Saccharomyces cerevisiae S288C: one gene and its partners. Changing the gene in region 2 together with the main gene of any one other region gives a genetic interaction. Each region holds a gene or a part of one and is shown on either strand. Other genes may lie near its edges. The genes, in order: RNH202, RAD51, YAP1 and NUP133.

Region 1 (3,186 bases), on a different chromosome or scaffold from region 2:
TCATGCTATATAAGAGGAATATAGAAAATACAGGCCAGTTGTTCTTATTAAACATGAACATAATAGTGGGTCTAGCAGTTACTATACATTTAAATTGGCGACTACTATTATTCGTACATTCGACTATAGCAGTATTTCCAATTAATGGATCTTTAACTCAGCTATTATACTGTTTGAGTTCCTCGTTTAACATTTCCCTGTCCAACAGGGACTTAAAAGTATGTAGGGTTTGCATTAATATACAGTAGAGACACTTAAATTGTTACTATAGTAACTCAAGTTACTATTCGTGAGAATATTGACTTATTATTCTTCATGAATAGTCGATTAGTAATCAAATGAAGTAATCAGATGTGCAATGCGTCTTTAATGTTTCAGACTGGAGAATGATACGTAGCTACATAATAATCTGGGTACAGTAAACTCAATGATCTATTACCTGAATGATTAATCTGATGCTTGCAATATAACAATTCATCTCGTGACATTAACCATAAGAATTACTCTCATCATTGCTATATCGGCAAGGTTTAATATGTCCAGTCGGAGTGTATTTTATATCTCTTTCTTTTAGAATAAGAATATCTGCTTTTATTCTTAATCAATACTACAACCTAACTACTAACTATCAACACTGTTAATTACGATTCGCTCCAACAAATTTGGTTTTGTGGATTCTTAAATTCTCGAGAAAAACTTCTAATATATCTTGTATACCAGATACTGTAGCCTTTAGCAACGATAGAATACGAACAGTTCTCTTAAAATTCGCCTATTTCTCATACCGTTGCAGATATAACTAAAGTATTGACATTCAGTGACATCTGGCGCTGATATCATTATTTAACACACGTATGTTTGCGTGGCATTGTCATTTTTAAGAGCAGAGAAAGAAACAATGAGCTACTTGAGTGTGACAAGTTGAAAAGTCCACCAATTTCACGTTGAATTAGGATTCATATATGAAATTCTAGTCATTAATTAGAATTGTAAGTTTCTGAGCTTTTTTTTCCTAGTAAATTAAACTTGTCTAATACATCCAGTTGTGATGTATTCTATATCTCAGTTCTACAGTAGCACGAAGTTTCCCGGCCTCTCTATTCAATAAATTCAGCTATCGCTGATTATCAACAGCAGCAACGAATAAAGCATAAAAGAACAGAAAAATTCTTCTACAAATTTATTCTGTAAAGATTCAGCTTCTTTCGTGAATTTCTAAGTTCATGAGGGGAATTTAAGTATGGCGTTTCTTCGTAGCGCCATTGTCTTGAGCCAAAATGGAACTCTAAAAATTTTCACGACATTTTACTAGTCAGTAAAGTGAGCATATACATATAAGAAGAAATTTCAAAAGGTAAAAAATGGAGCAACTTCCAGCTCATTATCTTTTCAATGTTGTCGATGCCATAGTTGGATTATGAAATCTCATATTCATAACCACAACGCGTTTTTTTCCTTTTAAGGCACTACAGACTCCATTCTCACAAGTTTGTCAAAAGCACGAGCGCGATGAGAATTAAAGTCAGATCTGGTTAATGATTCTGGTACAACAGCAGAAACAAATCGAGTACAAATTTAATCTTATTCTGTCGCAATAGTTGACTTTCTTTTCTGGCCTCTCGAACAAAAAGCATGACCGTTTCCAACATTGGGGGGGAAGAACGACTAATAATTTTACCAGACGATTATGAAACTTCGAAAACTATAAACACTTTTACACTGCCGCCACCTTCCAATATTACATCCAAACCTCGTATCGAGCTCTTCGAAAATATTAATGGAAAACTTTACGAAATAAGATCTTTTCAATTCGGCAAAGGGCCCTCGTATTCACATGAGGAAGATTTGGCAAATGATAAATATCACTATACTAAGGAAAATCACCCGATCAAATCAACTTTCATTGTAAATACGTCTGATCCCACCGATGGTTATGTTTTTAACTCAAGCAAAATACACTTTTGTTCTTTATACGATATTGCTTTTAGTTTGATTGGATTTTACTATAGAAACAGTGTTTCAGCAGATGAACAAGATTACTCCAATTCAAGTGATACTGGTGAAAACCAAAAAAGCAACAGCAAAACCAATGAGAAATTTCTTACGGTGCGTGATTACCATGATTTCTTAACGGATAACCATGACAAGAATTGGGAAAACATTTCTTTAAGTCGTCTCAAGAGTGGCTTAGCAAAAGTTAGTGAAACCATTGAGGAAGCTGGTGACGTCTATTACAAGATCACATCTGCAATGATAACACAATTTTTGTTAGGCAAGGTATCAAAAATTGTAGAAAACTTTCCTCCAAGTATCCCTACACTTAAAAATGCCCCAACGGAAATAAAACAGTGCTACAAGGTAGTTATGGCTACAAATCTTTTAGTTTCCCTGATTCCAAGGGCGGCCTACCATAATTTACTTACCTTTTCACCTACAATGGATAGTGGTTGCCTAAATCCGGATATAAAAGCTAGCTTCATAGAACTCGAAAACTACGAGACTACGAACGAATTACAGAATGCTGAAAGAGAATTACTGATGAAAAGTGCCATGAATGTAGGCCTAAATTCGAATGGCAGGGTTTCATTGCCAGTGAAAAAAGTTACCAAAAAAATAGTTCAAAATAAAAAACCAAAAGTAGCCATAGGAAAAGGGGCCATTGATGGATTTTTTAAACGTAAGTAGCTAGTATCATAATTAAACAGCAATTTGAATGCTATAACTCGGTGGTGATGACCTCAGTGCGAGATAATTACACAATATTGTCACTACCAACGAATGGGCTACCTTTTTTTTCCTTTCTCGAATTCAAGAAAAAATTAACAACTTTTCCCTCGATGATGTTAACAAATGTCTGAATATAAAGGAATAGGAAACGGTTGCTAGATTGTATTTACCTTACCAACTTTCAAGTTTTTTTTCTAACTTCCTAACTTTCAGTCTCGATACATTAATCAACAGGACGTAGTGATTGCAAAATTGTTCAGAATATACATTAGATTAAAAGACAAATGGCCAAAGACATTGAGATATCCGCATCCGAGTCAAAATTTATCTTAGAAGCACTGAGACAGAATTATAGGTTGGACGGCCGCTCCTTTGATCAATTTCGTGACGTGGAAATAACGTTTGGTAAAGAATTTGGTGATGTTAGCGTAAAAATGGGCAACACCAAAGTTCACTGCA
Region 2 (3,624 bases):
TCATGGACATTATGGGTACTGCCTGATTTTAACAAAGGGATACTCGTAATGTCAACCGTACTTCTCTTGCTGTTAGCAAAAGTATTGTTCTATTCTTTTTTCCAAGTACAATTTTTTATTCAATTTAAAAACGTCGAAACGAAGACAAGGAAATTCATTGCCATAAAGAAGTGTATGGTATTTTACGTTGGTTTTATAAGAGGATGGCGACATATCAGAAAATTTTTCTCTTCACTCCCCTAAAAGGATAAAGCCGCGCGGACCCTGCAGGAGGAAGTAGTCATCGGGAAGAAGAGTAGAAAAATACATATATTTCATGGGTGACAGACAATACGAAAGTTATTTAAAAGAACTGAAAAAAAAGGTTAAGACCGCAGTAGGGTTGCGAGGTATATGACAAAATATATGCAAAAATCTAAGACAGTGGATGGAAATGAAGATAAAAATGTACGGAACGCAACCTAAGAAAAAGAGGAGAATTGAAAGTAAACCTGTGTAAATAAATAGAGACAAGAGACCAAATACCTACTCGTCTTCTTCTCTGGGGTCACCAACACCATCTTCATAGATCGCGAACACACATTCAGCCTCTGGTAAGCAAGGTGAGTCAACAACTTTGCATAATCTTTGACATCCCTTACCCTTTTTGAAACCTAATCGCGTGGTGGAAGAATGTGCCATAATATTACCACCGATAGGCTTCTTTGGATCTGGATTAAAAGCCATACCACCATCAACTTGGGCGACCACTTGGTTAGTAACGACGACTGCAACACCAAATTGGTCGGCCAGCCTTTGCAAAGCACGCATAAATTTGGCTAAATGCATTTGCCTTGCGCTTAGTTCACCACGACCAGAAAAATCCGTACGGTATAGAGCCATAACAGAATCGACCACAATCAAGGAAAACCGAGACTCGCTCATCATTTGGGCAGCAGCATCCAGAAGTCTTAACTGATGATCGGCGTTATAGGCTCTTGCATACGCAACGTTGTTCAAAGCATCATCCGGGTCTAATCCGAACCGCTGAGCTATGGATACCAATCTTACCGGCCTGAAAGTACCTTCGGTATCGATATACAAACACTTACCTTCACCGCCACCAATATCCAATGGAATTTGGCATGTCACGGCCAAAGTGTGACATAGCTGGGACTTACCTGTCCTGAATTCACCGAAAAGCTCAGTAATAGAACCAGTTTCCACACCACCACCCAAAAGAGTGTCCAAATTCTTAGAACCCGTTGTCAAACAAATCAGCTCCGATCTTCTCATATGAAAATCAGCAGCCGTGACAAATCCCATAGGCACTAGCCTTGCCGCTTCGTTTAGCAACTTATCTGCCTTAGCTTCCGATATACCTTTGATTTCCAATAAATCCTTTCTGGGAGCATATGCTACCGCTTCAGCAGTGTGAAGCCCACTCTCCCTTAGTTTTTTCACATCCGCCATAGTAATCCCGTTCACTTGCAGTTTTTCTATTGGCACAAACGAACCTAAGGCAGCTTCATCGTATGCTTCATCCTCCATTTCACCTTGCGCTTCCGCTTGCTCCTGCAATCCGCCACCATCGCCGGAGCCGTTGGTGGCCTCAATATCTTCGCTGCTACCGTTGCCGTTTCCATCAACGACTGACTGTGAAAGGTCTGCTGGTACAGTGGACATCAACGAACCGTTCCCGTACTGAAGCTGTGACTCTGATATATGTTGTTCTTGAACTTGAGACATATGACGATAACAAATTAGTAGGCCTTTAACAAATAACTACGTCTGCTCTTTGTCGCTACACTCAACTACTAGTATATGGAAACTACGGAAGATAGAAGAAGTAACTGAGAAAATTTTTTCTCCAGTCCCCACTATTCCCCTTTATGGTCCCACCACGCGTACTGTAAACAAACCAGGACAGAAATAGCGGAAATGACGCGTAGCATAGGGTAACGAAGTGTGGCCTAGTCGTGGGATATGGTGAGACGGTGATAAAACACTGATACAACCGGTTGGAATGCTCAGGGAATGCTCAAGAAGGCCACCTGTTGCAGGATAGCTAAACTAGATTGGTTGAAGAACGGTAGTGGTGCATTTCCAACATTTACCGTCCATTTTAATTTACTCTGTGACAATGATAAGCCAGATCGCTATTAACGTGGTGTAGTCATGTGACCGGATGGCACTGCCGGTGGCAAAAAAGTGCAAATGCAGGGGCGATGAAAAGAGAGGAAGAAAGAGTTTATGGCATAGTAGAAAGGCCAATTAAATCGGGAAGCTGCTAAGTAAGTTTGAACCGTAGTTTCGAAGTAGAGTGCGTTTCTTGCGAATTGTGGTGAAAATATTGAACAGTGAATAAAGCATAAAAAAAAAATGTCGGATCCAAGTTCTATTAACGGTGGTATCGTCGTTGCGATGACAGGTAAAGACTGTGTGGCCATTGCCTGTGATTTGCGTCTCGGAAGCCAGTCACTAGGTGTGTCGAACAAGTTTGAAAAAATCTTCCACTATGGGCATGTGTTCTTAGGGATTACCGGTCTGGCTACCGACGTGACTACTCTGAACGAGATGTTCCGCTACAAGACGAACCTATATAAGTTGAAGGAAGAAAGGGCCATTGAGCCTGAAACGTTTACCCAATTAGTGTCAAGTTCACTTTATGAAAGAAGATTCGGTCCATACTTTGTGGGGCCGGTGGTAGCAGGTATTAATTCCAAGTCCGGGAAGCCCTTTATTGCGGGATTCGACCTAATCGGCTGTATCGACGAGGCCAAGGATTTTATCGTTAGCGGTACTGCATCCGACCAACTGTTCGGTATGTGTGAGTCCCTGTACGAACCTAATCTAGAGCCAGAAGATCTTTTCGAAACTATAAGTCAGGCCCTACTGAATGCTGCTGACCGTGACGCTCTATCAGGCTGGGGAGCTGTAGTATACATCATCAAGAAGGATGAAGTGGTGAAGAGATACTTGAAGATGAGACAAGATTGATCGGTTCATGGCAATCTCATGGTCCCAAAAACAACCCCAACACAAAATATCAGCGGAACGTCAAGAATTTTCCACATCCAACTCATCTTTAATTTTTAAGTAAACAGAATAGATCGAATGAATATATAAATACTAAAATGCATAAAGTCAGTCGAAGATCTGAGTAGCTATCCGCTGGCTGTCCTTTTCTAAGGAGCAGCGTTATTCACCAGCCGCGAGTCTCTTGAAAAATTGGCGCTTTTAATACTTATTAGGATGGGGAACTTGATTCTTTGACGGGTTTGTCAGCAATTAGTACGACTATCCTACTTCATCAAGAAACGAAACTATGATCGAAGAGAAGAAGGAACTTAAGAAACGCAGGGTTCTTCAAATGGCCAGATTTTATGGTGCGGCCGCCTTCACCCTGATTACCATGAGGCTTATCTCCAGGGCCATAAAAGTACGAAAATGTATGTATTTTGTCCTAGTTCAGTGGCCAAAACTAATAATAGGATATAGTTACTAACACCGTCTACTGAAAGCAGACGTCCCCAGCATATTTCAACAAAATTACAAGCTTCCACCTTTTTCCCAAAGGAATGAAGCCATGTCAGCGTTAACGTATGCATCCGCCGCTTCAATAGGTACGTTCAGCACATTGAT
Region 3 (4,176 bases), on a different chromosome or scaffold from region 2:
ACAGTTCTTCAATGCTTTCCTAGCCACGTCGACATGGAACATCTTTGGGATACCATCACCTAGTTCAATTTCATAAGCGATCTTTCTATGTTCAGGATTGTTTTCGTCATATTTATCAGTCATTACCCATTCGTAAACAGCAAAGGTACCACCCGGTTTCAAAACCTTGTAGATTTCGCTGTATACACCTTCTAATTTTGGAGCGTGACATGTGGCCTCAATTGCATAAACTTTGTCGAAAGTGTTTTCTTCGAAATCCATTTTCATGAAATCACCCTTTACAAAGTCCATTTGGTCACTCAAATTGTATTTTTTAGCGTAATATTTTGCCTTGGCAATTTGGTAATCGTTATTGTTTAGACCGATGACGTTACAACCGGTAAATCTTGCAATCTCTCTTGCTGGGCCCCCAACACCACAACCAACGTCGAGAACTAAATCGCCTCTTTGAATACCAGCCTTGTAAGCTAAATAATGTTCATGTCTTGCTATCGAGGCAGCGAAACTCTCACCTTTATAAAATCTGCTGAAATGGAAAGAGGAACCCCAACCATATTCATAGAAATCTGTAACGACGTTATAGTAGGAATGTGTGGCTTCATTATAATCCTCAAGACGACGTTCTTCGGCATCTTTATCGGTTCTACCATCCCAATTTCTCAAGTACTTCTGAACGGCTTCCTTTTGGGCAGAGTTGTTCTTCGACATCAATGCACTCAAACCTGTCTTTTTACCAATATCATCACCATGTAACTCCCTAGTGAATTGGGCCTGTCTTTTTCTCAATTCTGTTTCACTCATCTTATGCTGCCTACTATATTATTATTTTATTCTTGTTTTTTTAAATTATGTAAAACTTAAATCGAAAGTAAAACAGATAAGGGAAACTTGAATGAAAATTAACAGCTTATAAATTACAAAGACGAATGGAAAGAAAAAGAGAGCAGCAGAGGATAGGAGAAAACACCCGAACTATATAAAAAGCAATGAAGAAGTTATCGGCAACAGCAAGTATTGGAGGTTTCTCACCAATCTTCGCATAAAACGCATGCTTCGTAAGGCGATAAAAATGAAGTGTACCATTGAGACGAAGTGGAGCAGTTTACAGTGAATAATACATTGTCTGCTCCTCACTTACTCTCGCTTCTCGAAAACTTTTTTGTATTTATCGGAAACGGCAGTAAACGACGCCAAAAATTGAAAATAAGTACGGGAACGAGGTACCATATACGAAGATCGGGGCTTTGTTCGGCCCTAAATTTTGCTGATCTTACCCTGTTGCATCTTTTCAAAAATAGTAACCAGCCCTAGCTGTTTGGTTGATTTGACCTAGGTTACTCTTTTCTTTTTCTGGGTGCGGGTAACAATTTGGGCCCCGCCAAAGCGCCGTCTTTGTCATGGGAACCGGAAACCCTCCGATGAAGAGTAGGAGGGTGGCAACTGATGGATGCGTAAGGTCTTAAGAGATACATTTGCTTAATAGTCTTCCGTTTACCGATTAAGCACAGTACCTTTACGTTATATATAGGATTGGTGTTTAGCTTTTTTTCCTGAGCCCCTGGTTGACTTGTGCATGAACACGAGCCATTTTTAGTTTGTTTAAGGGAAGTTTTTTGCCACCCAAAACGTTTAAAGAAGGAAAAGTTGTTTCTTAAACCATGAGTGTGTCTACCGCCAAGAGGTCGCTGGATGTCGTTTCTCCGGGTTCATTAGCGGAGTTTGAGGGTTCAAAATCTCGTCACGATGAAATAGAAAATGAACATAGACGTACTGGTACACGTGATGGCGAGGATAGCGAGCAACCGAAGAAGAAGGGTAGCAAAACTAGCAAAAAGCAAGATTTGGATCCTGAAACTAAGCAGAAGAGGACTGCCCAAAATCGGGCCGCTCAAAGAGCTTTTAGGGAACGTAAGGAGAGGAAGATGAAGGAATTGGAGAAGAAGGTACAAAGTTTAGAGAGTATTCAGCAGCAAAATGAAGTGGAAGCTACTTTTTTGAGGGACCAGTTAATCACTCTGGTGAATGAGTTAAAAAAATATAGACCAGAGACAAGAAATGACTCAAAAGTGCTGGAATATTTAGCAAGGCGAGATCCTAATTTGCATTTTTCAAAAAATAACGTTAACCACAGCAATAGCGAGCCAATTGACACACCCAATGATGACATACAAGAAAATGTTAAACAAAAGATGAATTTCACGTTTCAATATCCGCTTGATAACGACAACGACAACGACAACAGTAAAAATGTGGGGAAACAATTACCTTCACCAAATGATCCAAGTCATTCGGCTCCTATGCCTATAAATCAGACACAAAAGAAATTAAGTGACGCTACAGATTCCTCCAGCGCTACTTTGGATTCCCTTTCAAATAGTAACGATGTTCTTAATAACACACCAAACTCCTCCACTTCGATGGATTGGTTAGATAATGTAATATATACTAACAGGTTTGTGTCAGGTGATGATGGCAGCAATAGTAAAACTAAGAATTTAGACAGTAATATGTTTTCTAATGACTTTAATTTTGAAAACCAATTTGATGAACAAGTTTCGGAGTTTTGTTCGAAAATGAACCAGGTATGTGGAACAAGGCAATGTCCCATTCCCAAGAAACCCATCTCGGCTCTTGATAAAGAAGTTTTCGCGTCATCTTCTATACTAAGTTCAAATTCTCCTGCTTTAACAAATACTTGGGAATCACATTCTAATATTACAGATAATACTCCTGCTAATGTCATTGCTACTGATGCTACTAAATATGAAAATTCCTTCTCCGGTTTTGGCCGACTTGGTTTCGATATGAGTGCCAATCATTACGTCGTGAATGATAATAGCACTGGTAGCACTGATAGCACTGGTAGCACTGGCAATAAGAACAAAAAGAACAATAATAATAGCGATGATGTACTCCCATTCATATCCGAGTCACCGTTTGATATGAACCAAGTTACTAATTTTTTTAGTCCGGGATCTACCGGCATCGGCAATAATGCTGCCTCTAACACCAATCCCAGCCTACTGCAAAGCAGCAAAGAGGATATACCTTTTATCAACGCAAATCTGGCTTTCCCAGACGACAATTCAACTAATATTCAATTACAACCTTTCTCTGAATCTCAATCTCAAAATAAGTTTGACTACGACATGTTTTTTAGAGATTCATCGAAGGAAGGTAACAATTTATTTGGAGAGTTTTTAGAGGATGACGATGATGACAAAAAAGCCGCTAATATGTCAGACGATGAGTCAAGTTTAATCAAGAACCAGTTAATTAACGAAGAACCAGAGCTTCCGAAACAATATCTACAATCGGTACCAGGAAATGAAAGCGAAATCTCACAAAAAAATGGCAGTAGTTTACAGAATGCTGACAAAATCAATAATGGCAATGATAACGATAATGATAATGATGTCGTTCCATCTAAGGAAGGCTCTTTACTAAGGTGTTCGGAAATTTGGGATAGAATAACAACACATCCGAAATACTCAGATATTGATGTCGATGGTTTATGTTCCGAGCTAATGGCAAAGGCAAAATGTTCAGAAAGAGGGGTTGTCATCAATGCAGAAGACGTTCAATTAGCTTTGAATAAGCATATGAACTAAAGCGGGAACTTTATGGAAAACTGGGTAACCGAAAGAACTTTTTCTATAATGTTACAATTAAACTTTTTTAACTTACCTTGCTTCGCCTTTTCGCCGAAAGTAGGTAGATTGTATCACCTCGGTATTTTTTTATGTACACAACCTATACTTTAAATATATTTAGACTATGTATGAATTCTCTGTATCACCTTCAATGTCAATATAGAAACTGGTAAGTGCAATAGTACCAATAATGATTATAATTATAATACAAGTATATATATATATCTATATATAGTGGTAAAGTATTCTTTACATGATGGCACAACGCTGAGATTTATCCGTACCTGCAGAACCACTGTTTTTATGATTCTTAAACCTATTCATCTGGAATTTCCAACGCTTTCTATCCTTGTTAGTGGCATGAGTAGGGTTATCTATGCCGCTTAAAGACTTTAGTAATGTAGGTAAAGGCAAACTTTTGGACCTTTCCACGGCACTCATAGCATTGATGGAACTCTTTATCTTTTTCAACTCATTTTTGGAATTACTTTCATTGTTACCCTTGGAATTAGGTTTGTGAGAA
Region 4 (5,852 bases), on a different chromosome or scaffold from region 2:
TGTGGACGTTAACAACATTCAAAAATTCACCCGTGGTGAAAGTTTGAAATTAAACAAGCATCATGTGGAAGACCTTGGGGAGTACTCTGAAGATCTGTTGAAAAAGTGTTCTCTTGATTCAGATGTGGTCATCACTGGTGTCCCTAGTGAAAATTACAAATTCCCCACCGAATACATCAAAGAAGGTGCCGTCTGCATCAATTTTGCATGCACCAAAAATTTTAGCGATGATGTCAAGGAAAAAGCTTCTCTTTACGTTCCAATGACTGGTAAAGTTACCATTGCAATGTTGTTGAGAAACATGTTACGTTTAGTAAGGAACGTAGAACTGTCTAAAGAAAAATAGAACATTTGTGGCTGTTCAAATAAGCATAGGTAAAACAGAATACATAAAAATAAGGGAAAAAAAGAAAGATCATTTGTAATGTACTTACTACATACATATAGAATTCTCCTCTCTTAGATTATCATATAATATACAAAGTTTATGGGTCTTATTTCTTCTGTCTTTTAGCAGAGGGCTCAATATCAGTGGCACTGACGAACTCTTCTTCGTATTCTTGTCCATCATCCGAATACGACGCTTCATCTTCGTAGTCTTCATCTACCTCTCCATCACCTTCTTCAGTTCCTTGGTCGAATTTGGATTTCAAACCCTTCATCTTTCTTGTTTGTAGTTTACCCAAATCTTGTTTGCCCATATGGATTCTACCCAATTTATCACCCATGATATCTAATTCTACATTCTTCTTTGTCTTCATTTCTAATTGTTTTGGCTTCTTGTGAGCTTCAGTGACCATATCTGGACTTGGAGTATGAATTCTGCCGATTTTGAAATCTAGACGTGGCCCAATCTCCACCAATTCAATACGTGGTAATCTCTTACCACCTTGGTCGCTTTTATAACTTTTTAATTTGTAAACACGGAATAGAACGTTCGGCAATGGCTCACCATCTTGGAAGTCACCTTGAATGGTCATGGAAATGACATGTTGTAATCCCGCAACATCCTGTAAATCAGTAGATTCGCCTCTAAAGAAATCTAAAAACAAAGATTTAATTTGCTTGTATACGGGATGTGTATCAAATGCAGCACCTTGGAATGTAAACATAGGCTTCAACCCTACAGTAAATGTTAATTTCTTAAAATCAGATAACAACTTGAAATTATCTGCAACCATTAGTTCAATCATATCATATATTTTGTAGCCAAATGTACGTATAAAGGTCATGTTGTTTTTACGCTTTTTGGAACTTGTCATCAGCACCATCAATGAACAGTCATTCTTTTCACTAAAGAACTCTAGTGGCGACATGTCTTCGAAAGGATGAATATCATTCTTACGATTGAACCTCTTCATATCTGGCTTCTTCAAGGCACTCAAATCTACCATAATATCGTGCAGATTCTTGTTACAGCTTTGCCCTGGAATGAATAGCGCTTGCTTGACATTCTCTACCAACTTAGCTTCCCTCTTTACCAAAGCTCTCTTGGCTCTTGCATTCTTGGGTTTTACGGTTCTAATCATTTTTTCTGCCAGTGTTCTCCTGCGCTTTTGGATATGATAACTTCAATACAACTCATCGATATACCAAATCACTTTCCAATAATGCATTACACTATAAGAAAATTCGATCCTTAGCTCATCGCAAAAAAATGAAAAATTTTCAAATCGTATAAAACGATATATTTGAGGATTTAGGAATCAAAATAGCAGAATAAACCAAAACATACACCATTTAGGAATAAGGTTTAGAGGAGCTCGAGCATACTGTTACATCCAATTCAAGTGAAGTACATTAGGATAGCCATATGAGTGAAAAAAAAGTACATCTTCGTTTGCGGAAGGAACTTAGCGTACCCATTGCGGTGGTTGAAAACGAATCCCTGGCGCAGTTGTCTTATGAAGAGGAAAGCCAGGCCTCTCTAATGGACATTTCCATGGAGCAGCAACAGTTAAGGTTACATTCGCACTTTGATAATTCCAAGGTTTTCACAGAAAATAACAGATACATAGTAAAAACCCTTCAAACAGACTACAGTAGCGGATTCAGTAACGATGACGAATTGAATGGATATATCGATATGCAAATTGGATATGGACTAGTCAATGACCACAAGAAGGTTTACATCTGGAATATTCACTCCACTCAAAAGGATACGCCCTATATAACTGTACCATTTCGTTCTGATGATAATGATGAAATAGCAGTCGCGCCCAGGTGCATACTAACTTTCCCTGCTACAATGGATGAGTCTCCATTAGCACTGAATCCTAATGATCAGGACGAAACCGGAGGGCTTATCATTATCAAAGGTAGCAAAGCGATATATTATGAGGATATCAACTCCATAAATAATTTGAACTTTAAGTTATCTGAAAAATTCTCTCACGAGTTAGAATTACCCATCAACTCTTCGGGCGGAGAGAAGTGTGACCTAATGTTAAACTGCGAACCTGCTGGTATAGTGCTTTCTACAAATATGGGCAGAATATTTTTTATAACCATTAGAAATTCCATGGGTAAACCTCAACTGAAGTTAGGCAAACTATTAAATAAACCTTTCAAATTGGGTATCTGGTCCAAAATTTTCAATACAAACAGTTCAGTTGTCTCATTACGAAATGGACCTATCCTCGGTAAGGGGACAAGGTTAGTATATATTACTACTAACAAAGGAATTTTTCAAACATGGCAGTTGTCTGCCACGAATTCCCATCCAACAAAATTGATTGATGTAAACATTTACGAAGCCATTTTAGAGTCGCTCCAGGATTTGTATCCATTTGCTCATGGTACGTTGAAGATTTGGGACTCTCATCCATTACAAGATGAAAGTTCACAACTTTTCCTGTCATCTATTTACGACAGTTCATGCAATGAAACATATTATATTCTTTCCACGATTATCTTCGATTCTTCTTCTAATAGTTTTACTATTTTTTCCACTTATAGATTGAACACTTTTATGGAGTCAATAACCGACACAAAGTTTAAGCCTAAGATATTTATACCTCAGATGGAGAATGCTAACGATACCAATGAGGTAACTTCCATTTTGGTAATGTTCCCCAATGCTGTTGTCATTACTCAGGTGAACTCAAAATTGGACTCTAGCTATTCAATGAGAAGAAAGTGGGAAGATATTGTTAGCCTTAGAAATGACATTGATATAATTGGTTCTGGTTACGACTCAAAATCTTTGTATGTTTTAACGAAACAAATGGGGGTGCTACAGTTTTTTGTGAAAGAGAATGAGGAAACAAATTCTAAACCGGAAGTTGGGTTTGTCAAATCTCATGTTGATCAAGCTGTTTATTTCTCCAAAATAAATGCAAATCCCATAGATTTCAATTTACCTCCAGAAATTTCACTAGATCAAGAATCTATAGAGCATGATTTAAAATTAACCAGCGAGGAGATTTTTCATTCCAACGGCAAGTACATACCCCCTATGCTAAATACGTTGGGGCAACATCTCTCTGTCCGTAAAGAATTTTTTCAAAATTTCCTGACATTTGTTGCTAAGAACTTCAACTATAAAATATCACCCGAACTGAAATTGGATCTGATCGAAAAATTTGAGATCTTGAATTGCTGTATTAAGTTCAATAGTATCATCAGACAATCTGATGTATTGAACGATATATGGGAGAAGACTTTATCAAACTATAATCTGACACAAAATGAACACTTAACTACTAAAACAGTTGTAATCAACAGTCCCGACGTATTTCCAGTAATCTTTAAACAATTTTTAAACCATGTTGTGTTTGTTTTGTTCCCATCACAAAATCAAAATTTCAAACTAAATGTTACCAATTTAATCAACTTATGCTTTTATGATGGAATTCTTGAAGAAGGTGAAAAAACTATAAGGTATGAACTTTTGGAGTTAGACCCGATGGAGGTTGATACATCCAAGCTACCATGGTTCATAAACTTTGATTACTTAAACTGTATCAATCAATGTTTTTTTGATTTTACATTTGCGTGTGAGGAGGAAGGAAGTCTGGATTCTTATAAAGAGGGCTTGTTAAAGATTGTGAAAATTTTATATTATCAGTTCAACCAATTTAAAATATGGATCAACACGCAACCCGTTAAATCTGTGAACGCCAATGATAATTTTATAAATATCAACAATCTTTATGATGATAACCACCTGGATTGGAACCACGTCCTTTGTAAGGTAAATCTAAAAGAACAGTGTATTCAAATAGCAGAATTTTACAAAGATTTATCTGGATTGGTGCAAACATTACAAACTTTAGATCAAAATGACTCAACAACCGTATCGCTATACGAAACATTCTTCAACGAATTCCCTAAAGAGTTTAGCTTTACATTATTTGAATATTTAATCAAGCATAAAAAATTGAACGACCTCATCTTCAGGTTCCCACAACAACACGATGTTTTAATACAGTTTTTCCAAGAGTCCGCTCCAAAGTACGGTCATGTAGCATGGATCCAACAGATTCTGGATGGGTCGTACGCAGATGCCATGAATACTTTAAAAAACATTACTGTTGATGATTCAAAGAAGGGCGAAAGCTTGAGCGAATGTGAATTGCACTTGAATGTTGCAAAATTAAGCTCGTTGCTAGTTGAAAAGGATAATTTGGACATTAATACTTTGAGAAAGATCCAATATAATTTAGATACAATTGATGCTGAGAAAAATATTTCAAACAAATTGAAAAAGGGCGAAGTTCAGATATGTAAACGCTTCAAGAATGGCTCTATCAGGGAAGTTTTCAACATATTAGTGGAAGAGCTTAAATCAACAACAGTAGTCAATCTATCGGATCTCGTTGAGTTGTATTCTATGCTCGACGATGAAGAGAGCTTATTCATACCGCTAAGGCTTCTTTCTGTTGATGGAAACTTACTGAATTTTGAAGTTAAAAAGTTCTTGAATGCTTTGGTATGGAGAAGAATCGTTCTACTAAATGCTAGTAATGAAGGAGATAAACTGCTTCAGCATATAGTCAAACGTGTTTTTGATGAAGAACTACCCAAAAATAATGATTTCCCCTTGCCCAGTGTGGATCTTTTATGTGACAAATCGTTACTGACGCCAGAATACATAAGCGAAACATATGGCAGGTTTCCTATTGATCAGAATGCCATACGTGAAGAGATATATGAAGAAATATCTCAAGTGGAAACGTTGAACTCAGACAACTCACTCGAGATAAAGTTGCACTCGACTATTGGTTCTGTAGCGAAAGAAAAAAACTATACCATCAACTATGAAACCAACACTGTAGAATACTAATATCTATAATACAATTTTACATATATATAATAAACTTTACTGGGGAATGATAATAATAAATATGTATATGCTATTATCGCAACTGCCTTCTTCCGATTTATATAAGATCCTTTTCTTTCTGTTCATTCGTTACCATCTACCCTAATTCTGACCATTGTTTCCGGCAAGGGTACCAGATCTTCATCCTCATCATTATCTTCATCATTCTTATCATTTTCTTGCGCTTCAAGACCTGTTTCATTTGATTGTTCAGATTCCTTTTTCTTAGAATCTTTCCACGGTCCTATCTCATAATCACCCTCTGCATATTGCAATAATCCCAAACTTGCTTGCGATATATTGTTTATTATAGAATCCCAATTGTTCATCAATTGGGCCACTGAATCCGCATTCATTCCCATTTCTTTGATCTGCTCATTCAACTCTGTTAGCTGAATTTTTAAGCCATCCGTTAAACTGGTTATCTTTTGTAATGACTGAAGTTCTTTTCGCTTTATAGCAATTTGTTCATCTATTGAATCCATAATAACTGTCTGAATTATGAGTTTTTCAAACCTATTCAATA

What was found.
Region 1: mutations in RAD51 (region 2) and RNH202 together harm fitness more than expected from each alone (negative genetic interaction), as found in Saccharomyces cerevisiae (6 studies listed by BioGRID, with this or other methods).
Region 3: mutations in RAD51 (region 2) and YAP1 together harm fitness more than expected from each alone (negative genetic interaction), as found in Saccharomyces cerevisiae (7 studies listed by BioGRID, with this or other methods).
Region 4: mutations in RAD51 (region 2) and NUP133 together harm fitness more than expected from each alone (negative genetic interaction), as found in Saccharomyces cerevisiae (6 studies listed by BioGRID, with this or other methods).

What each region holds. Positions count from the first base shown.
Region 1 is NC_001136.10:1,017,736-1,020,921, forward strand, and holds RNH202 (Rnh202p), read left to right. Parts: upstream 1-1,632; coding exon 1,633-2,685; downstream 2,686-3,186. Other genes in the region: exosome non-catalytic core subunit RRP45, read left to right, coding at 3,012-3,186. UniProt on the Saccharomyces cerevisiae protein: Non catalytic subunit of RNase H2, an endonuclease that specifically degrades the RNA of RNA:DNA hybrids. Participates in DNA replication, possibly by mediating the removal of lagging-strand Okazaki fragment RNA primers during DNA replication.
Region 2 is NC_001137.3:348,084-351,707, reverse strand, and holds RAD51 (recombinase RAD51), read right to left. Parts: upstream 1,729-3,624; coding exon 526-1,728; downstream 1-525. Other genes in the region: SHC1 (Shc1p), read right to left, coding at 1-10; PUP3 (proteasome core particle subunit beta 3), read left to right, coding at 2,362-2,979; AIM11 (Aim11p), read left to right, coding at 3,308-3,431, 3,507-3,624. UniProt on the Saccharomyces cerevisiae protein: Required both for recombination and for the repair of DNA damage caused by X-rays. Its function may be modulated by interaction with other repair proteins. RAD52 interacts directly with RAD51, via its C-terminus.
Region 3 is NC_001145.3:252,190-256,365, forward strand, and holds YAP1 (DNA-binding transcription factor YAP1), read left to right. Parts: upstream 1-1,658; coding exon 1,659-3,611; downstream 3,612-4,176. Other genes in the region: ERG6 (sterol 24-C-methyltransferase), read right to left, coding at 1-801; MIN4 (Min4p), read right to left, coding at 973-1,083; GIS4 (Gis4p), read right to left, coding at 3,903-4,176. UniProt on the Saccharomyces cerevisiae protein: Transcription activator involved in oxidative stress response and redox homeostasis.
Region 4 is NC_001143.9:591,012-596,863, forward strand, and holds NUP133 (Nup133p), read left to right. Parts: upstream 1-1,813; coding exon 1,814-5,287; downstream 5,288-5,852. Other genes in the region: MTD1 (methylenetetrahydrofolate dehydrogenase (NAD(+))), read left to right, coding at 1-346; rRNA-binding ribosome biosynthesis protein RPF2, read right to left, coding at 495-1,529; DAD2 (Dad2p), read right to left, coding at 5,410-5,811. UniProt on the Saccharomyces cerevisiae protein: Functions as a component of the nuclear pore complex (NPC).